Linked DNA regions of Lepisosteus oculatus. The protein of the gene in region 3 binds, or shares a complex with, the protein of the main gene of each other region. Links are inferred from orthologs where the notes say so. Each region holds a gene or a part of one and is shown on either strand. Other genes may lie near its edges.

Region 1 (10,689 bases), on a different chromosome or scaffold from region 3:
ATCCATTTTCTAACCACTTCGTTCAACTCTGGATTACAGGGCAGTCGGAGCCTATCCCAGGAAGCAACGGCCACAAGGCGGGTTACACCCTGGGTGGGATGCCAGTCGATCACAGGGCGCGCACACACACACTCACATCACGGACAGTTTCCCCAGATGTCAGCTAACCAACCAGCATGTCTTTGGGCTGCTGGATGAGTCAGGAGCACCCAAAGGAAACCCCCGCAAACATGGGGAGAACATGCTGTACAGACAGCACCCCAGGAACTGCACCCAGAGCCCCAACACTATGATGCAGCAACGCTGAATTGCAGTGCCCCCATGCTGCAGAAAAGCTTTTAATTAATTTTAAGTGCATGTTATGTCCCTGAGTAAGAATGGAGTATCTTCTAAACTCATCTGACAGTATAAACTTCCCAATCCCATCGCAGGCAAATGTACAGCACCGGAACGGGTGGGTCACACCTAAGAGGCAGACCTGTGAAAGAGTCCAGCAGAGGATCTGAACCCCCCTCCTGGGTATTAAACACATGGAGAAAATGGTAAACCTCAAGGCACTCAAGCTCAACCCCTGTCCTGTGCCCAAGAGCTCTGTGTGTAGATGTGTTTTTCCTCTACAGAGCAACACCTGTTTAATCTCGAAGTGAAATATTGTTTTGTCCAATGGATTTGCCTTGTGCCCTCGATGGAAAAGTTTGCATTAGAGGACAGAGTGCTACACTGAGTGAAAAGAAGCAAAAGAGCTGAGAGCTGCTTACGATGGATGTTTGGTCCTCGAAGGGTCTGGTTATATTCTTTCTGAAAAATGAAAGAGTCCCATTTTAAACAAACACACACATTTCTTCATGGTTCCTCATTGTTGGAAAGATTTAACTTTACTAAATGCGTACAAGAACTAGATTAAAGATTTGATTAAAAGAGAAATTAAAACATAAAATGCATCAATTTAAAAATTACCAGCACGGAAAGCAAAGTAGTAGTTCTTTTTTAACAATGCAGCTCTTGAAAATGTTACTTATACTTACTTTTTGTAAGTAACAGCATTTGGTTTCTTCAGGGAATACTGAAAAAAAGAAGAACGATTTTTTACCACAAGTCATTTTTTATGGTTTTAAAAAAGACGCATTGCTCTGAAAGTAGAAATGTCCCCCATGTGGTCTCTGCTCACACTTCAGACCAACTGGTGCCGTTCTCGTGTTAACACACTGATGCACGATGAAAACACGATGGTTTAAACACTTCAACAGCTCACGGGGCACAGGCATCAAGATGCTTTCATTTGAAATACTGAGCAGATAACATTTTGAGCAGCGCTGCTCCTTGTGAAGGTGTGATCTTATAAAGAACGACAGACGCTCAGTGACTGGCAGCCATGTGGGGTACAAATCGACAAAATCGACAAAATTAGCTGATTAAGGACCTTGTGCACACAGCATTTCTATTCTATTCTATGTCTGAGTACGCTTGCGGCAGTGTGGAAAAACTACCCAGTTTTTGTGGTGTTCAAGGGAACGTTTCCGCAGGTCTTTCCTCCCGGTGGCTGTCAGGGTGTATAACGCTGCCCTAGTCTAGGACTGTTAGCCCTTCATTTGCTCGTCTATGGACAGCATGTTGCTCCATTGTACTTTTTTTTTGGGGACAATCAGTCTGTATAAACCTACGCACATTTTGCACATATTTTACTGTTTTTACAGTGACTATCATCATATTGTGCACACACCTATGTATTTATTTTAATTTACTGTATTTCATATTTATTTTGTATTACTGTACATTCTTATGTTTCGCCAATTCTGATGTCTGTCTTTTTTGCTCGTCTCGGGCTGCTGTAACATCAATTTCCCTTCGGGATCAATAAAATCTTATCTATCAATCATTTCAACTGGTGCAAGAACAAACCTGATGCCTTTTCTATGTCCGAGTCCGCCTGTGGCAGTGTGGAAAAACTACCCAGCCGTGTTGTGGAGTCTACACCCTGGCCCCTCTGATTCATTTACTACTAGATACAAAACAGTCCTGATGGGTGGAATGGCCTGCTCTCTTTTGAAACCTTTCTTATGGTTCATTTAGGATTGGAATAAGGGAGGGTGGTCTCGTGGTGAGAAAGTGCACAGATGACGTGCCGATGTCCTGTCGGGAAATTAAGCTGTCCAGTCCAGAGAAAGCAGCAAACAGGCTGTGTAACTGGCAGACCCGAGGACAGGAAGATTCACCAGTCCTGTCACGATCTCCGACTGCAGCATGAGAAAAGTAGCCTGCATATAAACGGGACAGCTGTAATAAACTGCCAGGACAAAAAGGATCTGCCTGCTGACGTTCAGAAGAAACGCCGACAGCCGAGAGACAAAATCCCTGCCTTCAGCGGTTGAAGACCAGGCAAGATGGAGGCAACAGAGTTGCAGTGGAATGACTCAGGAATGCCGTTCTGCCCTGGACGAAGCTCAGGCCCACAGCTCGTGCAGCGACCTGGGCAAGCAGTGTGCGGGTGCTTATGTTGCTCAATCTAATCGGGCCTCTGGATCAGCTTTGCCAGCTGACTGCAGAGGCACAGCAAAAGTGGTATGGTATGCCAAAAATCAGTGCTGGCAGGACTGTGTTAAGATGCAACATACAGATGTATTTTGATGGGTTTTCACTCGAGTGCTGTGATTGTTTTATTTGCACGCTTAAAATATTTGATTGAATCCGTTAGAACTGATGCATTTCCACTGTGCATCAGCACACAGCAAAAATCCTTCCGGGCATCTCTCCCAGATCGTTTTTAAGCAAAAGCTATTCAAATGTTCAAAAATCCTAATGTGGACTCATTAACAAATGATTTGCAGATTAAATGAGTTCCAGACAAATTTCAGGAAAAGGTTTATAATAAAACATTTGAATACTGAAAGAAATACACACTGTTTATGTCCTGGGAGTTTTAAAAAACAGCTTTATATCCAGTTTTTTGGACAAAGAAGTGTCCAGTTTATGCCATACCCTTATATTTTCATGGTACAGCTGTACTACCACTCATGACAGAGATGCACTACAAAGGGCTGTGGCAACAGCACAGAGGATCATAAGATGTGATTTACCATCAATCGGTGAGATCATCCACTGTCACAATAAGGCCCAATCACCAAATCCATCCTTCAGGATCCCAGCCACCCCTGCTCTCTGGCCAGCGGTGCCACACTGTTAAAGCACAGGCCACTAGACTCAAGAACAGCTTCTACCCTACTGAGTGCACATCCTCAACAGCTATCTGCAGTGCCTCAGAGTCAATACACATCTGCACTATTTGCATAGTCGACCATGTTTTTTTTGTCTCTCACTACTACATATTTACAATCCCACAACATATTTATCATTCTGGTTGTATTACTTATTAAGTTTGTAAAGTACAGTCTACATTCTGTGGTGTTGTCTGCTGTACTGTGCACATCCCGAGAGATCGCACCAATAAGAATTCCAATGTACGTGGTGTAAATATGGCAAAAAAAACTCCTCTACTCATATTTTGGAATCTTAAATCCTACACCACGTTTCTGGTGGGGGTTGGGGTGACGCAGAGAGTACGCAGGACATATCATTGATCATGGACGCTGTGCTGTAATATCCATTCCTTCGGATTAGATGTCAAACCACGGTTCTGGTAACTTGCTCGGAAAAGACCCTATGGCACTTTTAAAAACGAGTTTGAGTGTTACCCTGGTGTTGTGGCTAAATGTCACTCTGGGCTTGCTCCCTAAATAAACTGGCGATAACGATCTCACTTCTCCAGCAGGTCTACCGTGGATGAAGTGTGTCCCCTGCTGTGTCAAGCGCCTTGGGATCCTACACACACGCAACCGCTTACAGGGATCATCGGAGAGAAACGACACTCACAAGGTCCTTCAGAGCCTGGGTGACAGTTTCACTGGTGTTCCCCCCTTTGATGAGCATCGCACTCTTCTCATTTTCAGTGAGCTTGGGCTCCCGGCTCTGGAGAAACCTCTTCGATCGCTTTGTTTTGGGTTTTCTGCAGATTCAAAACAAAGGTCTTGTGAAGCAAGAGAATTGATCAAGATGCAAAAAGCTACAAACACTGACAAGGACACTTCTAATTGGGGAGGTGAAAAGCTTGTGGAAACGTACCCAGCCAAAACCTACTGTAGCTGGTATTCTGCGAAAAAGGCAACTCCACATCCCATACTGCCATATATTTTAATTACACACATGGCCTTTCTGTCTGTTTTCCTCTGTAACAAGTTACAGGTCTTCCTCTGACAGCCACCTTGCTATTTCTCACACCCATATTATTGGAAACAAGGTGTGGTTTTACTAGGATTTACCTTGTTAAACCTAAAACACCGAGAGTACAATAAACTTTTTTTTTTTAAAAAAGGGCCCTTCGAGCCTCTAAATTCAAATATCACAGAGGAATTCAGCAGTTAAAGAGTTCGTTCGGAAACATGTCCTTCCAAGGATTTTAAAAATACCAAATATACATTAATAATCTGTACAACTATGCTTCTAATTGGGGACTTTTTGGTTTTAGTCACTGAGATACTGCAAAGTTTTTAGCAGCTGAATATCTAAAAACGATTAGAGTGAAAGAAATCATAGCAGTATGGGAAAAAAATAACAATTTTATTCTTCAAGTTAAGCCTGAAAAACAGCACCTCGGCCTCTATGCACCCAAGAATACTCACTTTGTGGGGACAGTACCCAAGTGCATCTGGGCTGTTTCCAGAGGTTTAGACCGAACGTATTCAACCCTGGAACTTCTATTTCATGCCATTAGAGGACTTTGAACCAATGCAATAAGTTACTGAATCGATCCTTAATTAAACAGCCCAGATGCTGAAAAACACCTTGTGTGGACGAACTGTCTCTTTGGCGTTACCAAGATTTACAGTAATACTCACCAATAACTTAACCCCCCGTATAGATACGCCAGTGTTAACCTGACAAGAACTAGGTCCTGCATTATTATATTTACAATACAAATTTCAGGTATTTCACTGGAATCTAATCAAACCTTAAAGAAGGTGTGACTTAACACATAGACTGAATAAGTTAACCGCCTGCATACCCACCAAACACAAATACCATTCATCGGAATATTTCATTTTTCCAAGGTAATGAATCCATATTTTAACGCACTGTCGCAAAAATGAAAAACTACATTCTCAAACACTGATCATAGTTCACTACAGTTTCCTATGCACGTTTCACAAAATACGCTACAAGCTTCCACGTGTTAAACTAAAAATACTCGTGCGGTTGCTTCTCTAATAATATTAAAACAAACACATCATCGTAAAATGTTTGGTAACTTACACTACGGCATCCAGCTGTGTCATTTTCACGACCTTAATCGATAAAACTCACAGACGCTTGAGGAAAACGCCGTCTCTCCACGTGAATCTAACACAGGAAACAGTATTCAGTTAGACCCACCCCCTTTGTTACGCAATTTCCTCTCATGGCATAAACACGTGTGAAAGCGTACACACTCTCCCCTTCCACTTTCTTATCTACTAGTATACTCAAACGAGGAGCTGCGAGGGTGGCTCGGTGGTCATTTATTACTATTTGCTATGGCTCTTGGGCAGCTTAGTGGCGCAGTGTTCAGCATCGCTACCTCGCAGCGCTGGGGCCCTGGGGAACTGGGGATCTGTGTGGAGTTAATTAATAATAATAATAATAATAATAATAATTGCTTACACTTATATAGCGCTTTTCTGGACACTCCACTCAAAGCGCTTTACAGATAATGGGGATCCCCTCCACCACCACCAGTGTGCAGCCCCACCTGGATGATGCGACGGCAGCCATAGTGCACCAGTACTCTCCCCACACACCAGCTCTCAGTGGGGAGGAGAGCAGAGTAATAAAGCCAGTTCACAGATGGAGATTATTAGGAGGCCATGATTGGTAAGGGCCAATGGGAAATTTGGCCAGGACACCAGGGTTACACCCCTACTCTTTTCGAGAAACACCCTGGGATTTTTAATGACCACAGAGAGTCAGGACCTCGGTTTTACGTCTCATCCGAAGGACGGCGCCTGTTTACAGTATAGTGTCCCAATCACTATACTGGGGCATTAGGACCCACACAGACCACAGGATGAGCGCCCCCTGCTGGCCATACTAACACCTCCAGCAGCAACCTTAGTCTTTCCCAGGAGGTCTCCCATCCAGCTACTGACCAGGCTCACACCTGCTGGGCTTCAGTGGGCTGCCAGTTGTGAGCCGCAGGGTGATATGGCTGCACCCATATAATGAGTTTGTGTGGGTTTTCTCTGGGTTCCTTGGTATATTCTGTCTTGTGTCTTCCAGTAGGGCTGTTCTCATGATGTGTAGTATTGAGAGAGATTGAGAGAGATTCCTGGGCTTTTATCTGCAGAAAGTCTTATTGTAAAGCTGCACGTTATGTGTAGACTGTAAGATTAGAGCGTATAGAATGAGTAGTATACAGTGCCTTGTGTCCATTCTCAACTAATAACCAGCAGCCATATCACCCTGCAAGCCAGCAGCCATATCACCCTGCAACTCACAACTGGCAGCCAGGAGGTCTCCCATCCAGCTACTGACTTGAGAGAGATTCCTGGGCTTTTATCTGCAGAAAGTCTTATTGTAAAGCTGCAAGTTATGTGTAGACTGTAAGATTAGGGCGTGTAGAATGAGTAGTATACAGTGCCTTGTGTTATAAATGTCACCCTGCAACTCACAACTGGCAGCCCACTGAATCCCAGCAGGTGTGAGCCTGGTCAGTACCTGGATGGGAGACCTCCTGGGAAAAACTAAGGCTGCTGCTGGAAGAGGTGTAAGTGGGGCCAGCAGGGGGCGCTCACCCTGTGGTCTGTGTGGGTCCTAATGCCCCAGTATAGTGATGGGGACACTATACTGTAAACAGGCGCCGTCCTTCGGATGAGACGTAAAACCGAGGTCCTGACTCTCTGTGGTCATTAAAAATCCCAGGGTGTGTCTCGAAAAGAGTAGGGGTGTCACCCCGGCGTCCTGGCCAAATTTCCCATCGGCCTTTATCAATCATGGCCTCATAATAATCCCCATCTATAAATTGGCTTCATTACTCTGTTCTCCTCCCCACTGAGAGCTGGTGTGTGGGGAGAGTACTGGTGCACTATGGCTGCTGTCGCATCACCAGGTGGGGCTGCACATTGGTGGTGGTGGAGGGGATCCCCATTACCTGTAAAGCGCTTTGAGTGGAGTGTCCAGAAAAGTGCTCTATAAATGTAAGCAATTATTATTATTATTAAATGTTACATGTTGTTGTTATGTGTTACACTTTACTGTGCAACAGAATGATGTGCAGTGTTTTTCTTATTTTTTGTAATAGTATAATGTGCGATGTTTTTCTTTTCTTTTCTTCTCTTTTTTTGGACTCTATTTAAAGAAATAGATTTAAATGAGTGCTGGGTGTCCATAAAACAAATCCCTCAGGGGACAATAAAAATCGTATCTTGCAGAAGTATTCAAAGACCCTTTCAAATGTTTCTGGATTACAAATGACACTTGCACATCTTTTTTTCCAAACAGTATTTTTATTGCGAACTCACACGGTAAAATAGTTTTTTTTTTAACAGACAAAATGAGTTATTTATCAGCAGATACCTAGAAAAAAAGGCAAAAACCGAAAATGCTGCTTGCGCAAGTCTCCAGAGCCCTGCTCTCTGGCAGCTCGAAGGTTATGCAGGTGAAAGAGAGTGTCCTAACAGGGATCTGATCGCCTGAGCGCACGGCCGTGACCCTCGGCTCAATTTTGTACTAGAAGTTCACGTGGGTGTCACCGGGGCTCCGGTTTCCCCCCCACCCCAGTCCTAAGACATGCTGGGAGGTTATTTGGCTTCTGGGAGAACTGGCGCTGGTGGGAGTGTCTGTCTGCCCTGTGATGGACTGGTGTGAGGCCCCAGGTGTGTCCGGCCTTGGGCCCGTTGCTTGCTGGGATAGGCTTCAGCTCCTGTATGGCTAAGGCGATCAGAAGATGAATGAATGGACGGATAGGCTACGGAATTAAAAACTGTGATCTACGTTCTCCATCATAAGGATCAGGTGACGGTTCATTCCGTGCCAAAAGGTAAAGAAAAGTAACACCACGTTTCGGCTGTGTGTGTTTCAGACGTGTGTCAATATGTATGAAATCGGGTATGAAAACTTTACAACTGAACTATCTTTCATACGCTGGTCGTGTTTCTGTGTATTTCCTTATATCCGTACACTTACCCCTATCCCTTTGTTTCTAATTGTGCAAGTCCGGGCATCAAATACACACAATTGTCAAGCTTGCCACTAGATGTCCTTAAAGGCTAATGGAAAAACGGACGAGAGCTGGTTTCAAAAAGAACCTCGTTATGTTTTACGTTTTGTGTGTGTGTGTGCGGGGGGGCATTCATGGAGCACCTGCCTTTTCTATGCCTTAATAAACTCCCAGTTGATGTACCGAGGGTGTGAATAAAAAGGCGAGCTCGACTACCAGGTGGGGCGGAATGGTTTGTCCCTGGAGAGTGAGCCATTCAGCTGAGGAGCAGACTCGGCGCACAGCGTCTACCGGGAATCGTGACGGCCATGTAGCAGCAGCGGTGTTAGATCAAGCCCTTCCTCGACGGGCAGTGGGCACAGCTGCTGTCGGGACTGTCCCACTCGCCAGTAACGATGATAAAACGAATGACGACGGCAGGGAAATGACCCCCGAGCTGTGCGGAACCATTTTGTCTGATGAGGTCGAAAGCAACGATCCGGGCAGCATGAATGTGACCCAGGACTGAAGGCCAGTGCAACCACCAGAGTCGATCAGGTGGAAAAAGAGCAAAATCTTAAAGACCTGACAAAGTGAATCTCCAGATTTAAATTCAAATGCGTGTGCATTTTCCACGTCAAAGGGAAAACAAAGCGAAAGTCAGAACAAGCCAAGAATGGGTAAGGACTCCAAAGCAGCTGCAGCAGAACACCTCGGGTTGAGCTCGGGGTTACAGACGTCAAAGGGCACCTGCAACTCGATACTAGCTTTCGCGCGCTCCAAGTGTTCACTAAGCCTGGTCACAGAGTGGGTTTTTGCTCTTAACTGTTCTAATATGATCAGACAAAATGCACGGACTTACCCACCAAAATAAAATGCTGAGAATGGATGATCGCAAATATTAATTACATTCCTGTAAAAAAAAAAAACAAGTTTTCACTTTGCCGTGCCAATGCGTTTGAAGGGCACTGTATATAATATGTGTGTACATCTATAATAACAGTTGCTCCTTTGTTCCTGGAGATTGGGATACTGGGCTACCTCCAGCTTACCCTCATTATAATGTCTACCTAATTAAAAGCGTCATTAATCACAATATGAACAAGATGTGGCCCAGTAATCAAAATGGCAATACAATTCAAGATCAGATTATAAATTCGTAGTTTACAATATCGGTGTTGTCACTTTGATTTCTTCTTTTTTTGCTTGAAGTTCTTGTGTTTCTGGACCTGTTGGTAATTCACCTTTTATCTCTTGAAAAGGCAGGCACCCACAGAGGGTGGCTGGGGTACCCTGGTATGTTTGTGAAAATGTGAGTTATTTTTTTTTGGAGTACCAAAAAACTGGAAAAGTAAGGACAGCTATGAAACTATGAGCTACGGAGAAGTAATCAAGCCTGGAAGTACAGTGAAATATCCCATGGCTACAACACGTCACCAGCATTCCTGCGATGCCCAAGTATGTTTTGTCTATTAATCAGAGTGAGTCACACCACTGAGTAATTAAGCACCTGTCTGACAGGCACATGAATATGAGTGAGCAGTTGAATCTCAGTTCTTTGGTGAAAAGGATAAACTGCTGGGGACCTCACACTGCCACATTAGGGTTGTCCAATAAACACACTATGCACTGTGCAGTAAGCTCTCGTTTTTTAACGGGCTTCAGATTAAATGGACAAAATCTGCTAAATGTGAATGTTGTATGTAGAATAAATACTGGACATTCCCTGCAGTAATGGGGAAATGCTTAAATACTAAAACATGGGCATTGTTTTAGTATTTAAGCATGAATGAGAGACACACAGACAGGGAGAGAAGCTGGGGGTCAGAGCACAGGGTCAGCCATTTATACAGCACCCCTGGAGCAGTTGGGGTGAAGGGCCTTGCTCAGGGGCCCAGCGGAGTAGGATTCCTCTGCCGGCCGCGGGATATGAACTGGCAACCTTCCAGCCACAGAGCCACCCCACCATAATGTCATTATGAAATGACTTCAAATGTACTCCACGTTCCCAGTACAATGGGACATTTTGCATGGCAAAGCCACATGGTCAAGAATACTACCTTACACCACAATACTGGAGTTTGCATTAAAACTATTCTTTCTGTACAGTACATTTATGCTGGCATTCATGCACAAATTGTCTCTCACCATGGCTTCACTGTACAACCTGCACTGGAAAGAAAAACTGCCTGACCACATAAGTGTCAATAAAGTAACATACTTCTTGGGAGTATCTAAACCTTCTCTTAGTAGTTGTTGGTAGTACTAAAACCCCAGAAAGTGCAGTTTTCACGTAATTAATGACAAATGTATAACAAGTTCAGAATAAGACAGAATACAATCACTGTATTTGGCCGAAAGGTTACATGTGGAGTGGCTAGTTTCTTTAGACATCTGTATCATTAGAACTGCACTGGAGCAATTTGCACCTGGGAGATCATGTAACTATGTTTATACCTGGGATT
Region 2 (10,857 bases), on a different chromosome or scaffold from region 3:
GATAATAGCTGTGAGAATGTGCAGGACATCTGCACCTGTGACAAAACAGGAAAAGAACAATTCAAAAATCAAATAGTGTACATATTTTATTTAAATATTTACTATACATGCTTTTACATGTGGTAATTTATTGTATTCTGCTTTTAAGACTAATGCATAATTATCCCAACTTGAAGGCCACCCATCTGTCAAAAAATGACACCTCTCGCATGGCTGGGGTTTGTGCACGTTCTGTTCTACACTCGCCTGCAAAGTCGTTACTTTGAAGTGTAACTTCAGCTTTTCTTTCAACAAGTCGCTTTATCGACTGAATGTATGACTGTTTTTAAGGATCGTTCTAAGGAACAACCACAATTAATATTTTTTTAAACAGACGAACAAATAATCTTGAATATTACCGATTTGTTTTTTTTTCTCTGAATTACGTGGCTCTAGGAATTGCACACATGTAAGCAAGTAGCACGATTGGGTAAGTATGCGTTACTGCGTAAGCAAACATTAGCATGTTTACAGGTGGAGACGTTTCTGTATAACCCGTAAACCCCATTTTCGGATTTCTGCAAAGAAACTTACGCAGCCCTTTCCAATTGCCTGAGCAACTGCACGACTCTCTCACGTCCTGCCATTGCAGGCGAAGTCTTCCAGGGGCTCTCCGGCGGAAGAATTGTGGGATATAGGAGGACCGTTGAGGCGAAACCATAGCGCTGCACGTTAACATGATCACAACATTTTGTTCTGTTTATATTTATTTGGCATTTTAGACTTCTCTAGTACACCGGCATCTCAGCAGTGGACATTAACGTGTCGTTCTCTAGTGTAAATGAACATTTAGACAATTTATGTAAATTAATTTCGATAATTTATATAAAAAAAAGTCATAAAGCAGCTGTAGGTTAATTTTAATTCCGATTATGTGCTGTTCACGACTGGTGCTACTTGGGGACCCTGAAGCCTCATTTTCTGCAGTACTCAATAAGTCAGCACATTAAAATACAGTTGTATCGACGTCTTTTTAAAACTTCTTCTCGTTTTGAGACCCAAGATGTGGCTGACACTCAATACATTGGACATCAGTGTCTAGTGTATTTACTGTACAGAAAGTTTTGACTGGAGAGAAAGGACAATTTCTGCCTGTCCGTGTTAAGTTTTGTTGAAGCTGCGACGACCTCTAGCGGTACGAAAGGCACACAGCTCTTCCAATAACTTGCAAAAGATCTGCACGCAAGACAGTCGCGCCGTTTGGTCTTACAGGACATCCTCAGCTACCCGATTTTATAGGGCAGAAGCAGCAGTGATAAATTAAACACATTGGTCCAATTAAGGGAACTTCACCCCTTGAGAATTTCAGGGGATTCTGATGTTTGCCACAAGTTCTTTCTAAATTAATCAACACATCGTTTTTAATTGATCACTTGTCAAGCCAGGTCGTGTAGAAAGTGATGGTTTAATGATTACTTATAAAAGCTGCTGGTTTTGAACTCCCCAGAACCAGCATTAGGAACCCTTAACCTAGGGAAACCCAAACTTAGCCGTTGTCATAGTAACTGTGGCATTCCTCTTACACATTTACTTATCTGTAGACCAATTTTAGTCTCCACCACAAGGTTAGGGCTAATAAGATTAATAACATGTTGATAAGATTACAAGGCCAAGTTCTAGAAGTACACCAAAACAGCATTAAAATGTATATTAACAGAGTTTTAATCTCTTATCTTCAAACTTCACTTTAGCTTAAATGTTTGTTTTCAAGAGGGGAATCCGATTCTCTCATACAATTTGCATAGATTTCAGATCTTAAATGACATAAGGTTACCACTGTAACAATGAACACTAGTGATTATTAAAACAGCACCACTCAAACATACAGTAGTAAGTAATTAAGATTATACAAAGAAAATGAACATTTCCACAGCAACTGTTTGGTGAACGTTTATTCATAAGCCACCAACTTCAAATACATTCTGTAATATTTACTCTTCAGACAGCAGCAAAATTAGGCTTATGCACACCTTAAATATTCAGATTCCCAAGTCCGACACTTAATTTTCTTAACTTTAGGCACATATACGAATGCTGGGCCTTCATATTACCACCCTTTAAGCCCTTCAAACAAACTAGAAAGACATTACAAAAACCATCTTTGAAGACATAAAAGAGTCCATTAACTGTAAAAATACTATCACACGCAGAATGTATTCAGAATACAAGTAGTACAGAACTTTGAATATTTGTTATTCCCTGTCAGAAGCTGAAAAAACAGTCCCCCATTGTATGTGTCATGATAGTATAGAGCCCATCTAGGGCCTGTAATCAAGTGAATTTCACCCAGTCAGGTCAGCAAGTTAGATCTAAAGTTAACCTAACCTAAAGTTAGACCAAGGCCAATCATAAAACCGACAAAATGACAGGCAAGACAGATTTCCACTGCACAGCAGTTACAGCTGTATCAGGTACCAGATATCACTAGCTTATTTTGACTGAATCTAGGTCAAGACTAAGGCTGCAATTATATCAACTCTTCTGTTTCATAAATACCTGATGTAAAAGAGAATGCAACTCGAATATCAATTAAAACATGCTGCTGTACAATAGAATCTGAACTACATTTAGGCTCATGATAAGGTCTTCTACATTTACACCCATTTATCATTTGTTAACAGATGGGCATTCTACATGAGGCAAATGAACAAAAAACAATTTGGACGAAGGGCTTTCAGAGCTCAAAGCGAAAACAACACACGATTCTACGGAGAGACTTAATATTCAGTCGAGAGAAATTTCACTCATCCAGCGAATTGTCACGCACAGTACCGTACACTGCAAAAGAAGCAAAGCAAGGCATCGTATCATGTGGAGGAACAATAGGGTTACTCCATGCTGAAAAGAGAAGAAAGGAAACAACGTTTCGGCGGGGCGGAGCATTCTTCGGGTGTAAGAGTTAAAGAGTCTTCCAGCCGAAACGTTGTTTCCTTTCGTCACTTCTCAGCAGGGAATAAACCTATTACTTGTTCCTTTGCAGCTGACGCAGCTACGCACCTGAACTACCATATCATGTGTCCTATTAACCATCGGATACAAAAATATTTAACCCAGTGCACAGTTCATTGATGTGCGTCCCATTAAACGTGAAACCAGTTCCACGGGGCCTCACGGTTATTTCTTTGGGGGGGAACAAGGCACCAAGGTTTGCAGAAAAAGTTCGTTCTGTACAGAACACCGAATGACGACTGCATCTAGACACGCTCCTCTTCCACGCCAGGCAAAACGCGAGAAGCCCGTGGCGCCTCTATCGCTTCCCTTGCTTCATGCGTGGCTTTCTGTTCTTGCCTCCGCCTCCAGCGCGTCCCTTTTTCCCCTTTCCTTTCCCAGAAAAGTTACCCTTGCGGCCCTTTTTCCCTGGCGTTTTCCTCCTCTTGGACCCCGACTCCACATCCTCTTCCCTCATCTGCTTGTTGACGGCTTTGGTGATGTCCAGCCTGGGTTTCTTGCCGTCCATGATCTTGAGCATGTCCAGCTGTTTCTGCTTCTCGCTGGAGAAGTCGCCGATGAGGGGCTGAAACTTCCTTTTCTTCCCCGTGTTTCTAGCCGGCTTCTCCTTGGGTAGACGGTCTTGAAACTTACCCACGGAGGCCGTGGATGTCTTGGCCACCTGCATGGCCATCTGCAGCTCCGCTTTCGACTGCTGGCTGGCGGGCGTCAGCCCAGCGCCGGGCACTTTGATCTTCTGCGCCCGGGCGATGTTCTTCAGCCGGTTCAGCTCGTTTTTGGCCACCCTCTCCTTCTTGGCCTTTACGCGCTTGGCGAACTGGTCCTCGTTGGGGTCGGCGGTCGCGGGAACCTCGATCAGCCACTCTTTGGTGTCGTCATTAGCTCTCTTGTAGCCCCACCGCCTTTTCCACTCCTTGTGTACGTCGTCCCACACCAGGTTGGTTTTCTTCTTCTTCTGGATCCCCTTCAGCTTGGCGAATTCCTCCCATTTGGTCGGCGCCCTGGGTTTAGGCACCGGTTTCTCTCTCGGCAGCCGAGTGGAAGGGTCGGGTAGCTTGGCCACTATCACCTCCTCGACCCTCTCTGTGGGCAACTTCCAGAGCTCATTGATGAGCAGCTGCGTGTTGCCCCGGGCGAGAGAGCGCAGGAACTCCTCTTTTTTCTGCTGCTTGAACTCTCGGACGTGGGGAGGATTTTTATCAGATGCAAGCAAGTTCCCCAGGTCGAACTCGAGTTCGAGTTCTTTGTGGACCGAGATGCTTTTGAGTTTTTCGGCTTCTTCTTTCTCGGCTCTGGCGAGCACGTCTTCCACACTGCAGGACGCCATGACGGTCTCGCTCTCAAAGGAAGCACGCTGGAGCCCGTGGGAAAGGTCAAGCGACTGTTTCCGGGTCTCCATGGATGTGGTTTTACGTGCAGGTTCCGCTATGTGGCGGTATTTAACCGTAAATACGAAATTAAAACAATATATATTCAGCCGTGGTGGAGAAATGCGCATTTCAGGCGTAGAACTGTATATCGAAATTTCACAAGAAAAAGTATAACCAAAATAAATTATAGTTGTTGTTAAACTAATTTTACATACCTCTCATCCTTCTATGCAAACCAGTTGTGAAAATGAATTTCTTTAATAATACTCAGTAATACATTAATAATCATTAAAGGACTGAGCCTTCATATTCTCATAGTATCTCACCCTTAGTCAAATTGTCCATGACTTCATAAATATTTACCTTCCACCCCCTGTAACTATACCGTAGCTAGGGCATAACCCGATACATAATTCTTTAGCCTGGCTAAATAAACCAATATAATTTTAGACCGAGCTGACTATGTCGAGTATTATATAGACTACGCCACACACGAGGTAATGTTTTGATACTGGAGTTACGTAATATAATTTTCTCACCTGACCCCGGGCTCTTTAAATTCATTTTTTAAACGCGGAGTTTTTTTTTTAAGTTCTACTGACAAACACAGAGAAACAACTTTTCTAACGGAGTATGGCTTCCTTTAAAAATTCTAATTAACGTCTTCAAAATCTTTATTTTCGAACCATACATACATATATATTATTTTAAGACATACTTAGGTTTATCTTTTTCCAAGAAATAAATGTTAGTCAAAACTATACGATATATAGTATATAGTATATCCTATGAATGATCTTTTAACAGCCTAGTTCACTCAAAATGAATAAACAAAATCGTAAATACGAAATTAGAGTAAATAACTCTTCATAGTTTCAAGCAACTAATTTCTGAAAGAAAAGTGGCGGTCAGTAACAAGACAAATGTGTTTTTCTTCAAGGGAAAAAAATCGTTTAGTTTGTCTGATTTAAACAGTGCTAATCCCAGTCTTCCTGCATTTCACACTGAAGAGTCATGAATGAAACACATATTGACTCGCTCCTGGTGAATGGAGCTGGAACCTGTCAGTGTGCCACAGATAAAACAAGTTGAAACACAACATTTACAGTTTGTAAGCTCCAAATACTTGCCAGTCCCTGTATCTGCTGCAGTCTCTCTCTCCAGGCCTGCCACTAGAGTAAACCTAACTTGGGGATGCAGAGATTAAATGTAATGTCAGTGTCAAAAAGAGGGGTCACTTTACAGTGTTGGCATACATGAACTGAAAGTCTGCACACCACATTGCACATTACTCTCTTAGAACACTGCCTCCCTGGGCACTCTGCATAAAGCCTTTGTACATTTGTCCCAAGGCTACATCGTTCATATGGCAGGTTTTTAAACCAAACCACTATAAAATCAGCAGGTTTCATAGGCACACATCAAAGTGATTACAGATCTTGCGGTCGATGAAAACCAAAACGTTCATCCTAGTTCTTTCAAACACTGTCCAACTGGGCCTAATGTATAAAGTCAGTATTGAACATTTTTTTTTTAAATTGGCTTTTATTCATTTTGTGGAAAGAGCACACTGTGCCTTTGTTTTAAGGTCCTTAAGAGGAGCACAAACATCCTGATCTGGAAATCGTTGTAGAGGAACTCTGGTGTGGTTCCACTTACTTGGAAAGGAAACATACTGTAATATAATACTGAGACAGTAATGTCTTGCTCATATTTCTAATCCAGTCCTATATATTATTTACCTTATTCAACAAACTGTACTTACATACTGTACTGTAAGTGTGTATGAAGTGTGCATTTTTGCAATTACTTGGTGAGTGAAAGATAAAGTGATCTTATTATTTTAGTTTCAACATATTTAGTTAATATTGTTTTTGACATTTCACATCCCAAGCTATGCAACCGTTTTCCATTCAGCTGATAAATTCGAAACTGCAGTTTTGAACGGTTTTTTTACTTTTGTGCAGGATTTCTCTTTTTACTGTGTAAGAAAGCAAACACTTGTTCTACAAAAGAAATATTGCAATAAAGAAGTTAGACAAAGGCATAAATAATATTATTGCTATTAAATTCTAACAACAATTTGTTTGGGAAGCTTTTAGAGATTATTTTGTGTTACAAACTGATAACCTAAAGACTGGCAGTGCTGTAAAAACTGTGAAACAAAACAACCCTACTTGAAAAAAGCAAACAATGTTGTGTACTGCATCCTGAATAAAGAGGTCATAAACCACAGGGGAAAGTGGAACAAACCAGCTTGCTTTAAAAGTAATACTTTTATTTGGGACTTTTCCTTTGTGCAGTCATACCTTTATATTGGATGCTCTGATCCACTTACTTTCCTCCATATCTTTTGCTGTATGAGTTTCCTCAACATGCAGAAAGCTTTAAACTGAGTCAAACATTTTCAACTCTCAATTCTACAATTTGTTAGAAGAAAAAAAAAACAAGATTGAGAAAGATGCTACCAGCAAAAGACTCAAGGGTGATGTTCTACTGCTGGAGCCCATCTCTTTCTTCAAAGAGTGCCAAGAAACAAGGATTTTTTGTTCCATGTGGCACTGGTCCTGTCATCATAAACCACTTGTCTCATGTGGCTCACCATCATAGCATCAGTAGTAGTGATTCAGAAAGCTTCTTATTGTGTGCTCTAGCTGAGCCACACTTCTCAATGAGTCCAAAATTACAGCAGGGGTAATTATTTCCATTTGGGAATGAGTACACAGGCTTTGAAGTATAGCCCCTTCACTGACAGTGGAGATGTCTTGGTAAGCAGCAGACAAAATCACTATGGGGTGAAAATACTATGATAGGTTTCCTTGGCTAAATTGGAGTCAGGCTCCAATAACTATAATTCTAACATCGATCTATATAGACAGCAATTCTACTGAGAGTGCGCTTTTAGCCTTTCATTCCCAAATCATTCAGGTTTCCAAGTATTTTCTTTCTTCATAATTTACAGTATATGCTAGATAAAAATTGTTATGCATAGGTGAACATATAAACTACAAGCCAGACCAGCAGGCAGTCATATATTACAAAAATAGATACTTTATTGTCCACTGCTGTGGAAGTTTGTCTTTGGCTTCTTTCACAGAAGTACAAAACACACAAGCAAAACACAAGAGTCACATAAAATCACAACAACAGTATGTGATACATAAATAGATGGATAAATAAATATTTAGAGGGGAGACTACATTTACATACCTTCCTTAAGTAGTTTTATTGCAGAGGGGACAAAGGACTTCTTATAAATGTTTTTATTTCAATTTGGTACCCTATACCGTCTTCCTGATGGGAAGATTAGGAATTGGGAATGGAGTGGATGTGTGGAGTCAGCTGTGATGTTCCTGGGCATTCTGAGAACTGTACTATGATATGAGTTGCAGAGCTGGGGCTGCTGTTTCCCAGTTATTTTTCCTGCCATTTTCACAATCCGGGACAGTTTAGGTTTCCATACCACACTGTCATGTTAAATCCCAGGATGCTCTCAACAAGGCTTTTATATGCCATCTCTAGGATATTATGAAATTAGAACATTAAAGTTCTTGAGTCTTTGAATTAAAAACATCTCTGATTTGCTTTTTAAAAAATGTTGTCTGTATTCTCGGTGTAACTATGCCTCTGATCAATATGCATTCCCATAGACTCCCCACAACCTCTACAGGCTGACCATTGAGTACTATTGTCTGCAAAGATTGCCCTCCATCAGTTTTAGCATTGAAAAGAAGCTCTTTAGTTTACAGAAAACATTCATCAATCCACTTTCAGTCCTGGTTAGGATCATGGCGTTACAAAAAACATAACAGCATGAAAACACAAGAACAAATCAGACTGAGACGATGCCACCAGTACCAGCAAAGCTCACTAGTGTTCTTTAAGACATTTGAGCATGTGTATATAAAGGCGTCATGCTATGGTCAGTGAGCGCACTACCTACAAATGTATTATACAGAAATCATCTTTTTCCTTTGAGTTGCTAAATGTAAAAGCAACACCCAAAAAACAATTGTTTTTTAGAAAGAAAGTGTTCCAAAGTCTGTGCTGTTGCTCAGCTCAGACATATATGCCCTGTATTGAAACTGCCCTGTGTGGAAACATCTGACTGTTTCTTATGACTAAGATGGAAGAGACTAGGATACTGCAGTTTTTTATTGTCAGCAATGAATACCACTACCTCCATTTATTAAGCAGTTTGAAAATGAAACAGAAAAAAAGTTGAGAAGCACTTTGAAAATGAAAGAGAAAAAAAGTTGAGAAGCACAATCATATAATACCTTTATAAAACATCATGGACCGAGGAAATCATGCTGCTTTTAAAATATAGTACAAAATATATTACATTGTACTGAAATATTTTAGTAATGTAGTGCACGTATTTTACATAATTAGTTACACAATGCTAAGCATTTCACCTGTCTAACTAGGATGACACAAGTAGCTGGGACATGCTTGTTGAAAATGCCTGAGCTTACGATTCCTCTGGGGCAATTTCAATGTGTGCATCCCCCTAACCCCTAAGCACGAAGTGTGAAAACGTGTGACAACGTGCGTGGCATGAAATGTGTGTGTGAGTTTGCACATGCAAAGGTGATGTTTGCACAAATTACAGGCACACAGATTCGTCAGTATTAATCTCACAGCAGTTATGTCATGGTTCAGTGGCCTTTAGCCACCTGGAGTTACTCAGGGGTGTCCAGAGTTCGTTCACCTACCATGGCCACACTCCAGTGGCACTGTCCTCTGATGGAAGAATTTAAGAAAGGAGGCAGATGAGAGGTGGCTACTCAGCCCAGCTTAGCCCATCACTTGACAGTTTTATCAATGCTTTGGAGCATGTTGACAACTTGCATCAGCCCCCCTTGTTGTATTTGCTGTTTAAAATGAAAAAAAGGCAAGCGTACAATTTGTACTGTGTCACTGAAAACGTTCATTTGCATGACTCAGTCTGTGGATCAACATACTGTAGATAGGAAAATGTTTGTACAGGACGAACATTGTGTTTTTAGATGAATCCCATCAGAAACGTGTGTAACTCATTTTTGCAGGCTGCTCTACAGAATAGAAAACTATACTATTCTCTATTCTGGGCAGATGTCTGAGGTCTGCTTACAGGAATGACAATTTTCAAAACTGGAAATGTTTGTTATTTGGTGGTTTTGGGATCAGTGTGAGCTTTGGATTATCCTGTTGTTGTCAGTGTTTGTCCTACTGCACAGTGAGGTGTAGGGTTTGTGTCCCTTCTGTTGCTACATTAGCAACACCTGACGTCAAAGTGATGCTTTACATTTTCGGCTCATGCTTCTGTCCTAACATGACAAGGGCCACCCAAAGCTTTCCGCATTAAACTGTGATCAGTGTCCTGCTGGACACAGTGCTGGTACTCCAGGTTTGAACGCAACTGTGGGACAGGATGGCTAGACTCTTTCACTAGCACCAAACACATTTGCTGTACAGTATTTGCCTTACAGATTGAAAGAAACAACATCCCTGGGGTACATATTTCATGCCCCTATCAGTCTCTGCCAAGCCAATTCAATTCAATTCAACTTTATTTGTCATTATACTTACACAGGTGAATAGTACAGTGAAAAGTGTTTCTCCTTAGTCACTCAGGTGCAGTATATAAATAGAACAGAAGATAAGACAATAGACAGTAACACAACAATAACAGTGTAATAACATAACAGTGTAATCAAAACTGCAAATCCGCAGAGATAAGAATACACTTACTAACTGGCTCTAAAGAAAATAAATTTTTTCTCTGCAACTTTCAGACTCACAGAGTTCTCCTGTATTCACACTGATGCTTTTTTTTCTCCCTCCCTCTGTTCGTCCATCTGTCTGTCTGTCTGTCCCTCGCTCTAGGGCAGATTACAAATCGTTCTGCTCTCTGTCCCTAGATGGCAGATAAAGACCAACTCCCTGCTTCCTGGTTTTTATACTGTCACCTGACCAGCTGTCTGAAACCAGTTTGTCAGGTGACTAAGGATGGATGGTCATTCCCTAAAGGCTTCTGGGAACACTTAAATAACCGTACTCGTGGTTACTATAAGGCTATCTCTTAACCTGCCTAACTCAACACTCACAAAAAAAACCCAATACAACCTTGTAGTCTGCAGACCTAATCCTCCCTACTTAATTGTTTGCCCCCTAATAAAAGTGTTCTTCAAATGTCAGCAAAGAGAAAAGAGTCATATTTGAGGAAGTTTGCAAATACATTTCCTAAAAGTTTTCCCTTGTAGGGTTTGCTTTAAAAAAGTCTTAAATTCATGTTTAAATTCAACCATCTGGACCTAACTGGTGAAGGCCGGAGATTTATTTTGTTGTTTTGCAGACACGTTCTGTAATCAATATCCAAAATCCGCACATTATAATGACTGAAGCAAAGGAACAGTAAGTGAATTTAGTAAGTGCCAATAAACAGAAATTAGTATTTAAAAATTGTATTGACAAAAGAGAGATGAGCCTGGCATATAGATTTATTAAAGGAAAA
Region 3 (10,921 bases):
AGGGGTGACGGCGGGGAAAAGACAGTAAAAGCCAGTTTAGGGGTCCCGCTCAGTCCCAGCAGGCTCCAGGACCTCACCTCCCGCAGCAGAGAAGTCAGGGGCGTCATGACGTCCTGCCTCACCATGTCTTCGCACACCTCGAACCCGCCACACGCGCTCAGGTTCCTGGGACAACAGACACAGCGAGGTCACGCTCTGCTCCAGCCAGTCCGCTGGTGCCGGGCGTGAGTGGGGGGCAGGAACCCGGACCGAGTCCGGATATATGGATAAACAAGGAAGACTGGGAAACGGAGAAGCCCAGGACCCAGAAACCAGCGCCTCCTTGTCCAGCGGCACCCAGTGTTATCTGACATCACAGCGGCGTATTCAGGTGTGCAAATGATGCAGTCGTCCCCCAGCGGCCTGATCTGCACTGTTTGAAGAACAGCAGGCTGTTGTAGGGTTGAGAGAGATGTGGTGTCCATCCGTCTCTACAAATCGACTCACGAGAAGGCAGCGAGCCTGGAGGCCTCAGTCCACTCCTCCCCAGCGCCCAGCGCCCCTGTACTGACCTGAGCGCCCCACTCCGCCCCAGCGCCCCGTACTGACCTGAGCGCCCCACTCCGCCCCAGCGCCCCCGTGCTCATCCCAGCGCCCCACTCCTCCCCAGCGCCCAGCGCCCCCGTACTGACCTGAGCACCCCACTCCTCCCCAGAGCCCCGTACTGACCTGAGCGCCCCACTCCGCCCCAGCGCCCCGTACTGACCTGAGCGCCCCACTCCGCCCCAGCGCCCCGTACTGACCTGAGCGCCCCACTCCGCCCCAGCGCCCCCGTGCTCATCCCAGCGCCCCACTCCTCCCCAGCGCCCAGCGCCCCCGTACTGACCTGAGCGCCCCACTCCTCCCCAGCGCCCCGTACTGACCTGAGCGCCCTACTCCTTCCCAGAGCCCAGCGCCCCGTACTGACCTGAGCGCCCCACTCCTCCCCAGCGCCCAGTGCCCCCATACTGACCTGAGCGCCCCACTCCTCCCCAGCACCCCGTACTGACATGAGCGCCCCACTCCTCCCCAGAGCCCAGCGCCCCCTTGCTGACCTGAGCGCCCCACTGCTCCCCAGAGCCCAGCGCCCCCATACTGACCTGAGCGCCCCACTCCTCCCCAGCGCCCCCTTGCTGACCTGAGCGCCCCACTCCTCCCCAGCGCCCCCTTGCTGACCTGAGCGCCCCACTCCTCCCCAGAGCCCAGCGCCCCCTTGCTGACCTGAGCGCCCCACTCCTCCCCAGAGCCCAGCGCCCCCTTGCTGACCTGAGCGCCCCACTGCTCCCCAGAGCCCAGCGCCCCCTTGCTGACCTGAGTGCGCCGGCGGCGGTCTCCCTGACGGACAGGCTGCGGTCCAGCAGCAGCGGCCCTAGGCAGCGCACGGCGTCCCTCTGCAGGAAGGCCGGGATCACCTGGCTCTGCTGCACCATCCGCGAGATGCTGGCGCAGGTGTACTCCCGCACGTCCGGGCTCGGGTTCTGCAGCTGCCACAGGCACACACAGACACAGGCGTGACAGTTCTCAAGAAAACTCCAACTGTGCCACTGCCCAAGAACCCTAAGGCAACTTGTGTGAGTGATTTTCTGCCCAGTAGCACTCACTTCAGTCATGTGCCTAGAAAGCCCAGTATTGTCATATATACTGCACTATCCCATAATCTCTTGACCCACTTCAGTTTGCTTACCGCCTGAATAGGTCAGTTGATGATGCCATATCTCTAGCACTACATAACTCCCTAGAACATTCAGACAGATGTATGTTAGGATGCTGTTTAGGGATTACAGTTCGGCCTTTAACACAATTGTTGCCACCAAGCTGGTCCCAAAACTCAGGAATCTGGGCTTATGCAACTCTATCTGCAACTGGATACTGGATTTCCTGGCAGGCAGACCTCAGGTTGTGACAATTGGCAACAATATCTCCTCCACAGTGATCCTAAACACTGGAGCTCCCCAAGGCTGCTGTCTCAGTCCTAGGCTGTACTCTTTGTTCACCTACGACTGTACAGCCACTTACAGCAGCAACCACATTAATATGTTTGCAGATGACACCGCTATTATTGGGCTGGTCAACAACAACGAGTCCACATACAGGAATGAGGTGGAGCACCTTATAAGATGGTGCCTTGACCACAATCTGGCCCTGAATGTCACCAAGACAAATGAACTCATTGTGGACATCAGGACACCCAGAGGGAGTCTCGCCCCAATCAGCATCGAGGGTACAGCAGTGGAAACTGTCAGCTGCTTCAGATTCCTGGGGTCTGTAGATCTCTACGGACTTGGCTTGGTGTCACAACAGCCGGTCTGAAAAAGGCACAACAGCGCCTGCATTTTCTGCAGCACCATAGAAAGCGTCCTCAGTAGTGGCATCACTGTGTGGTACAGCAGTATTACCATGCATGACAGAGACGCACTACAAAGGGTTGTGGCAACAGCGCACAGGATTATAGGATGTGATTTACCATCAATCGGTGAGATTCACATCATCCGGTGTCGCAATAAAGAACGATCATCATTCAGGATCCCAACCATCCCAGCCACAGACTGTTCTCTGGCAAGTGGGACTGCACTATTAAAGCACGGACCACTAGACTCAAGAACAGTTTCTACCCTACTGCAGCATGTATCCTTAACGACTAACTGCAACGCTTCAGACCCAATACACACCTGCACTATACACGAGCCCCCACTTCCTTACAGACTGAACCAGTTAAACAGGGTCCGTTGAATTCCTGCACACTGATGCCCAAAGAGAGCTCTAGTTCTAGACCTTGTAGGCCTTGGTTCAGCAACAGGCTTTTTGACGGATCATTACTATGAGTTATTTTATTGCTCTCGTCCACCGGGGGCAGTGCGGTGGCTCTGTGGCTCAGGATCTGCCCCTGTGGCTGGAAGGTTACCAGTTCAAATCCCGCGGCTGGCAGAGGAATCCTACTCCGTTGGGCCCCTGAGCAAGGCCCTTAACCCCAGCTGCTCCAGGGGCGCCGTACAATGGCAGACCCTGCGCTCTGACCCCAAGCTTCTCTCCCTGTCTGTGTCTCATGGAGAGCAGGCGAGGGTATGCGAAAAGACGAATTCCTAATGCAAGAAATTGTATATTCCAATAAAGTGATCTTATCTTATCATATCCATTTCCTATCCACTTTATCAAATTCACAGTCTAAGGGAAGCCGGAGCCTATCCCAGTAAGCAACAGGTGCAAACAGGGAACACCCTGGGTGGGACGCCAGTCCATCACAGGCCAGATGGACACGAACGCAGACTCACGCACTCAGAACAGGGCCAGTTTTCCCAGAAGCCAGGTCTTTGGACTGTGGGAGGACAGGAGTTGGCACATTCTCCACACACATAGACAGCACCCCAGGTCCGGACTTAAACTCAGGACCCCACCACGACTGTCATGAATAACACATGACCGTATATCATTATTAATTAATCAATTTGCAGACACTAAAGAAGTGACAGAGAAATTTGAGAACTTGATTGATGTCCACAAGTGCAGAGTCACATTCAAGCAGAAGAGTAATATATAGATACAATAGAGGAAACTAGTTCTGCGCTGAGTCCACTTACAGAAAACATGTATTTATGTTGATACAATTATCATCTTCAAGACAATTTGGGAGAACAATAAAAACGCAAACGATGTTACAATATCGCGATAAAAGTGTACACTAAGTGCATCTAAATATGAGAACAAAGGCTCGTCTTTACACAGAGAGTTATTGGGGTTTGGAACAAACTTATGATCTTTTCGTGTTTCAAATCGTTTAGACTAAACTAACGGAGGAGCGTACCAATGCATGGAAAACAACTCGGAAGAGGAAGGAGAATTAATCACCAGCTCCCAAATCCAAGAGTCGGTGAATACCAGCGCGCTTTGTAGTGTGCTAAACAAACTGTCCTGCCTGGCAACATGTCGCTGAACTTTCTGTAACCACTACAGACACGCCAAGATGAAGAAAAGCGCTGGTGGTGGTTTAAAAGGAGAAAGCGGTCTAACTTTCCCTGCAGGGGCGCTAATCGCACGTGCCTCCGCTCAGCCCTTTTAAACTGGGGGACAGCCGGGCCGAGCGGAAGCATGTGACGCCGATTAGATGCATTAGTTTCAACCGGCCTCGACACCGCCGGACACCGCCGCCAGACGAAAACCTCTTACTTTGTCCAGCAGCTCGCCGGCTGGGGTGTCGACCTCTCCAGCCTCTCCGTCCTCCTCGACCTCCTCCTGGCCGATTCTGACGGGCAGCCCCTCCGCCGAGAACTGCGGCCGCTTAAACTTCTTGTTCTTGCTCTTGCCCATCGCGCTGTCGTCTGCGGGGCGAGGCGGTAGTGGCAGCTAGGCGCGGTTGTGTTACGGGACCCACACGCACTCCGATCTCAAGCGCTGCGCCCGGCCATGTGCGGATCAGTGTAGTGTAGTGTAGCTCGGCTCAGCCCCGCACGCCGCCGCCGTCCATCGCCACGGTCGCGCCGGCAAGCACGCGCACGCCGCGCGGCCTGACGCCGAGCGTGGGGCTGGGCTTGCGCGCGATGGAGCGGGCTCGGGCGCCGCGCGGGGGCTGCTGCCGCCTCGCGGAGAAGGAACAGCCTCTCCCAAGTCCCATGACTTTAAAAATCAAGAAATCGTGTTTTGTGGCACGGATTAAAATCTCTAAAACTTCTGCTTTTGCGCTTCCAGTTGATTTTACATGCAGTAGCTTAAATGGTATTAAAAAGATCACGGCCCTTTAGGTTTAACAGCAGAAGGAAATTGAAGAGAGCGACTAAGCAGCGGGATGTTGTCAGAAATGAACGAGGCAGTCATATTCTATATTGGGTATTCATTTCGCATTGCATTTGAGCTGTTGGAGGTCATTTAACATTTTTCATTGTGCAAAACCATTTCTGCTATTCATCAGAGAAAAACTCCAGGCAGTACAGAGGTAACAGACTGTTTTAATACTGCTGTAAAACTATAACCTTCACAGAGATGGTAAGTGCCAATTCTGTATCGGTAGTCTTTGGGTTTGCACGCTGAACCCATTTTTACATTAAGAGTTCACAAATTTAGTTATATGGGGATCCTTAGGCTAGACAGACTACCCCCCGCAAAAATAAATGTGTGACCAACACCCCTGTCCTGTGAGGTCTCTTCTGTCAGAAACGAACTGATGGTATTTAATGTATCGGCAAAAGATTCTGTCTGGAAGTTGCTAATGTTGATTCAGCTAACACACAAAAGCAAATATTCAGGTAGTTGGGTATCCAGGCCTGGCCTTGTGAGTGGTGTGTGTTTAAGCTTAATTTCTAAATGTTAGCTGTAGTCTCATCACCATCCATTCAGAATTGCTGTTGAGGTTTAAACACAAAACAATACACACAACACTAAAATTGATATTTATTGAAAGATATGGGGAACAAAATTAAATCAGTTACAATAAACATCTGCTACAATTGCACTGTTGGAAATCAAAAGGTTAGTCATGTGCCCGTAAGACTTTTTTTGCCAGAGAAATAATTAAAGCAAAAATATAAAAAAAAACATTCAGAGAATTCTTCTTATAAAGTGATGATAAAATTCTACTATGATGCTTCTAAGCTATGACAGTCTGAAATAATACAATGCAATGCAAGACCACAAAAGATTCAACAGATGGCTTTTGACCAATGTCATTTAAATAACTTTTCAAAGAAACAACAATACTTCAGATTTTTGGCATCCTCATGGAGAGAGAATGTTTCAGCATCCAGTCCTATTTATTAACTGAGTAAAACAGGGTTGCGATTTCTGAATCTAGCAATGCAGCATGTTCATCTCCAAAGACACTTCTACCATGGAAATGAAAAAATGTCAATGTTCAACCTAGGAAAAAAAGGTCAATTTCAGATGGATTATTTTAATTAATTTCCAATCAACAAAAAATAAAATGGTATACAAGTCTTCCAGACATACAGTACCAGCATTCAAAAGTACCAGAAGACAGCCCAGAGTTCCAGATCAATATTTTAAGCAATTCATGATTTAAACATTGTAATATGGAGAAACTGGAATATAACAATTCTTTATACAGATCCAGATTTTTTATTTCCAGTTCTGCAGTGGACTCTCTGGCATTCCTGACCTTAAAACCTAACTGATACAAGATGGCTTAGTTCACACAAGAACACTTAGTGAATCATCACTATCAGAGCTGCAACGTCCTGAGCTCATGACTCTTAGAGACAGAATTTTAGCCTTCACAGTACAGCCAAAAGAAAAAAACACTTGACAAATTTAATCAATCAAAAGCACAAATACAGGTGGGCAATGCAGACATCAAACATTCAAACCTTCCTGCATTTAATATAAAAATTGTTTAAAAAGGCTCAAGGACTTCGCATCGGTTGAAGTTTTACAAACCATGTCAAGGTAAATGACACAGGACTGCGTAGTGTTAGAGCCCCAGAGACAAGACCCAACAGTTAACAGCTTTGGCAACAGAGAGAAAATAATCCCGTTGCTGGGATCTAGGAGAAAAACCATGATATTTCCCTTTAAGATGGATTAAAAGATAAAAGTCACATGCACACCCATGCACTCTGGTGTGGTAGAGATGTGCCACACTATTTACAGCAAATACACAAGATAAATACAGTAAAAGAGACCAAGGCTGGAGGTTCCTGGTCACATTCCAATAAGCTGGTTCACACACAAGCAAGGGCTTTTAAAGTGACACAGCAACACTGAAATTTACAACACAGAAAAGTACCTTTCCACATGATGTTTGGCATTTCATAGAAACATAATTTACAAATCACCTATTTGTTATTCTCTTCTCTTCCTCTCTTTTAGATGATGGCCTCCAAGGGTTCATTGTCTGTATATCACTCAACAGATACTGCTCCTAAAAAAGCTATTTCGATTTCTCCTGGTGGTCTCTGGTCAGAACTCTCATCTCGGGAAAGGTGCTACTGGACATGTGGTCTTGGTTTCAGGATAAGCTTTCCTGTCTGCAGAAAGAAGATGGTATAAGCCATCGCCTTTGATTAAATGTTCACTTGCACCACAATAACACAAAATGAATGCCCTAAAGATTCCCAGATTAAAACCAGAAGTACTTTACATGCTCCTTCAACTGCGTTATACCAAAATAACATTTGATTCTATGAACCTGGTCTAACAGTGCTCACTACTAAAAGACGAAATTATTCAAAGATTTCCAACATTTCATTCTAAATCCTCCTCCACTTCCAGATGCTGTGCTTAAGTGTTAAGACCCAGCAAACAGAACAGGGGAATGTGCTTTCATAGACCATTCAGGGGAGACTCAATAACCAGAAACTCATCTGTCATATCCCACTGCAAGATGGTGCCTTCCACAGATGTCACAATGCAGAATCCAACTGCAGTAGATCATTTGATTCCTGTTTCTGTGCGTCCTCAAACGCACCAATTCACAATTAAACAACTGCAACAATTCTATGCCTCCTCAAGTGCAGCACCGCTCACTACAATACAGCTTCCATTCATGCCCGAGGTCTCCCAACCATTTTATGACATTTCCTTAAGAAGCCTTGTGTGTGCTGGGAATGTCTACTCACATCATCGCAGGACATGTTGTATTCTGCTAAAACTGTCCGGCAGCGGGCGGCGATTCTGAAGAACGTGGGTTAAAGAAACAGCAGAAAACTTTATAGAAAAATCTGTGGCATTTGTTTCTAGATTAATCCTACTTCACATTTAACATAACATCTTTTCATGTGTTCCTCGGTTTTGTAGGACTGTCACAATATTTCTGTATCTCGACACTGTAGTCCGCAGAGATAACAGGTCTGTCTGCCACAGCCCAACAGAGGCTAATCTTCCCTTGTTTCCTACGGGTGAGTCAAGCTATAAGACACTGCCATTAAAGTTGGCCCAGAAATGATTTTGTGTTAACAGAAGCGAATCTGCTTTTATTTGCAGTTGTATCAAAACAGCTCTTTGAAGACAAAAAGGATACATCGATGGGGCCACTACTCTCTTATGTATTCCTGCGAAGAACAAGCCTATCAATGTTATACAGCTAATTGTGAAGAATGGGTGATTCCACAGAGATGTGAAGAATGACACCTGCAAAACACATGAAAAGGATAAAAACAGATTGAGTTTAAAGAACTCGAAGGAGTTCTTGGAGAAACAGGAAGGAGACTCGGAGACCGCTTCAGAGAACATGTCAGGGCTGTGAAGATTAAAGATCTCTCCAAGCCCATTGTTTCTCATCTCACCTCTGACGGCCACGACCACTCTAATCTCTCCGTCTGTGTTCTCAAAGACGGTTTTCCGAACTCATACATCAGAAAGACCACCGAAACCAAAATTATTCTGCAGCTAGGATCACACATTCTCCCTTCTCTTAACGACAGACTACTGTTCTTTTACATTTTCTCCATTCATTGGAAGTTTCATTTCACACCTCTCTGCACCCATTCTGACTTCACACCTCTTGATTGGCCTCTCTTTCTGTCCCCTGCTCCCGCCTCTCACTCCTCCTCCCTCCCAACTTTTGTTCTCCCGCTTCTTTACCTTTGCCTACTGCCCTGTCTCTCTCACACCTGAAGAAGGCTCCACGGCCGAAACGTTGTGTTCTCTTTCTTCTTTTTTTCAGCATGGAATAAACCTGTTACTTGTTCCTTTGAGTTTAAAGAAGCCACTGATGAAATCCTTGCCTCCAGCCGGCCTCGGCGTGGCTACACACATACCTTCTGTGTCTCTGGGTCTATCAGCCAGTTCCAAGCCCCTGTCGCTGTGCAGACAGACACCACGATAAGAATCACTGTGGAGAGACGAGCACAGGGGAAGACACTGATGTGAGAACACCTGCGAACTTGGGCAGATACCAAATCTCTCAGCTCAATTTCAGTTCCTTCTCCAACACATTCATGGCCTCCAACAAGACTTAATTCTGAACAGTATTATGCAGCAGGGGCTTCTAGTTTAATACAGGCTTCATCCTTCTTTCCAATGAAAATTCCTCAATGTAATAATAATAATAATAATAATAATAATAATAATAATAATCTACCCCCCCCCCCACCCAAATGATGCAACAGCAGCCAGAGTGTGCCAGTCCGCTCCCCACACACCAGCTCTCAGTGGGGAAGAGAGCAGAGTGATGAAGCCAGTTCAAAGAAGGGGATTATTAGGAGGCCATGACTGGTAAAGGCAGGGGGTAAATTTGACCAGGATGCTGGGGTAACACCCCTACTCTTTTCCAGAAACTCCCTGGAACTTTTACTCTAACACAGGGTTTGGAATGCGTGATTGGTAGCTAGCGCAAAGATTTGATAATTTGCCTCAGTTGACAAACACTAGCAAAACAAACAAAAAGGCTCTTGCCCCAGTCCGAAACCCATCAATTCCATCCTCACGGGTCGATGTAATCTGTCAGTACTCACTCCTCCACCGCCCTGTCGCAGGCTGCAGGCAGGACACATACTCTGTCAGTCTCCTCTCAAACGCCTTCAGATCTGCACAAAAAAGATCTCCAAGCCATTAGACGCAGCTCTTAACCTTCAACACCATACAGTCACATGCTCTAATGTGAACCGTTTAAAACTTGTTTTTACTGGGAAACACCAGTTTGGATATTAATCCAAAATTTTCTGCTTATTCCAGGTAAGGCTTGTGGACTGTACATTTAATTCTTGACAACATGTAGGATTTTTTTACTCAAGCGAGTTAATAATGCAGTTTTTCATGGATCCTGACACTTCCAACTGTTTGTACCACCTCTCCTTTTCAGAACATTGGGTTTCGTTTCTGTCCCAAGCTGAAGTGAAACACAATCTGCGCTGATGGATGGAGACAGATGGCAGATGTTTCAAGCAGCTCAGTGCAACATGTACGTCTCCTTGGCCACAGACACAACTTTACTTCAAGCCTAGACATTTAAACTCCAGAAGGTGTAATGCCCAAACGCACAAGTTTGAGGCTTAAAAATAAGGTCTGATTTCTGAAGGCACCTAAAGACGCAGTAGCTGCGCGCGTGTAAGCATGTTAGATTAAAAGCTTGATAATAAGAGGTGCACACAGTTGCAACGTGAATTCACACATTCACGCTCGCCCTGTAAACATACAAAGGCATGATAAATACATACCGACGAGAAGCAGACAAAACGCATTTCTGGTCATAATTTACGTATTGTACAATACGTCAAGAAATGTTTTAAACGAGACAATAAAACATAGTAATAAATGTGCGACGAATTGTTTTTCAAACAGATCTCAACACACTATCCCCAAAACAGTGGAGAAAAATGATGGGAGTTTCCTAAATGGTGAAACCCGGCACCGGTTAAAAATATCCCCACAATATTTATGAATAAATGATTTTTGTGTAAACCGTAAAAAAGAAGAGACAAATTACGCGTACAAACAGGTGGATAGTAGTGTGAAATGACTCGTGATCTTAAATTTCTAGATCCTGCATATTATTACTGCACTGTCCCACACATTCATTGTAAAACTCACAAGGATGTTAGTTACATGTTTGTGTTTCAACGTCTTTGCAACTACAGAGTTAGTTGCAAAGCCAAATTAACACTAGTTTACGTAAACAGTGCCCGGGGCCCGGTCAACGCCGTGTCCGAGCTCAACACTCAGCCTACACCGGACTTACTGCCACCCAAGAAAAACGCACAAACTGTGAAATCCCAAATGAATACAGGTGACGGTCGCTGTGCTAAGTCGACACTACCTTCAGCCTGTTCAAGGGAGTTCATCGCCGCTGGTATCCTGCTCGCGTTGCTCCAGAGCAGCAGACCCCAGCGCTCCCGAAACCTGCACGCTGATTGGCCGAACGCGGGATCATTGCCCGAGCCTGCCGTACAAGCTGCGCTCTGATTGGCTGAGGGGTTTAAATGCGTTTGGCCATGGAGCGCTAGTCTGTACGTAACCGTGG

The links.
Region 1: heatr3 (region 3) and rpf2 share a complex: the UniProt entries of both Homo sapiens proteins name them as parts of the hexameric 5S RNP precursor complex. The link is inferred for Lepisosteus oculatus from reciprocal best matches to the Homo sapiens genes HEATR3 and RPF2.
Region 2: heatr3 (region 3) and rrs1 share a complex: the UniProt entries of both Homo sapiens proteins name them as parts of the hexameric 5S RNP precursor complex. The link is inferred for Lepisosteus oculatus from reciprocal best matches to the Homo sapiens genes HEATR3 and RRS1.

What each region holds. Positions count from the first base shown.
Region 1 is NC_090697.1:5,196,312-5,207,000, reverse strand, and holds the start of rpf2 (ribosome production factor 2 homolog), read right to left. Parts: upstream 5,417-10,689; 5' UTR 5,328-5,416; coding exon 5,305-5,327; intron 4,001-5,304; coding exon 3,868-4,000; intron 1,064-3,867; coding exon 1,026-1,063; intron 799-1,025; coding exon 759-798; intron 1-758. UniProt on the Homo sapiens protein: Involved in ribosomal large subunit assembly. May regulate the localization of the 5S RNP/5S ribonucleoprotein particle to the nucleolus.
Region 2 is NC_090701.1:51,347,298-51,358,154, reverse strand, and holds rrs1 (ribosome biogenesis regulatory protein homolog), read right to left. Parts: upstream 4,409-10,857; 5' UTR 4,388-4,408; coding exon 3,287-4,387; 3' UTR 1,914-3,286; downstream 1-1,913. Other genes in the region: adhfe1 (hydroxyacid-oxoacid transhydrogenase, mitochondrial), read right to left, coding at 1-35, 574-626. UniProt on the Homo sapiens protein: Involved in ribosomal large subunit assembly. May regulate the localization of the 5S RNP/5S ribonucleoprotein particle to the nucleolus.
Region 3 is NC_090715.1:1,954,470-1,965,390, reverse strand, and holds the start of heatr3 (HEAT repeat-containing protein 3), read right to left. Parts: upstream 4,517-10,921; 5' UTR 4,321-4,516; coding exon 4,180-4,320; intron 1,503-4,179; coding exon 1,330-1,502; intron 166-1,329; coding exon 78-165; intron 1-77. Other genes in the region: cnep1r1 (nuclear envelope phosphatase-regulatory subunit 1), read right to left, coding at 6,948-6,989, 7,581-7,635, 7,982-8,091, 8,721-8,794, 9,417-9,488, 10,718-10,742. UniProt on the Homo sapiens protein: Plays a role in ribosome biogenesis and in nuclear import of the 60S ribosomal protein L5/large ribosomal subunit protein uL18 (RPL5). Required for proper erythrocyte maturation.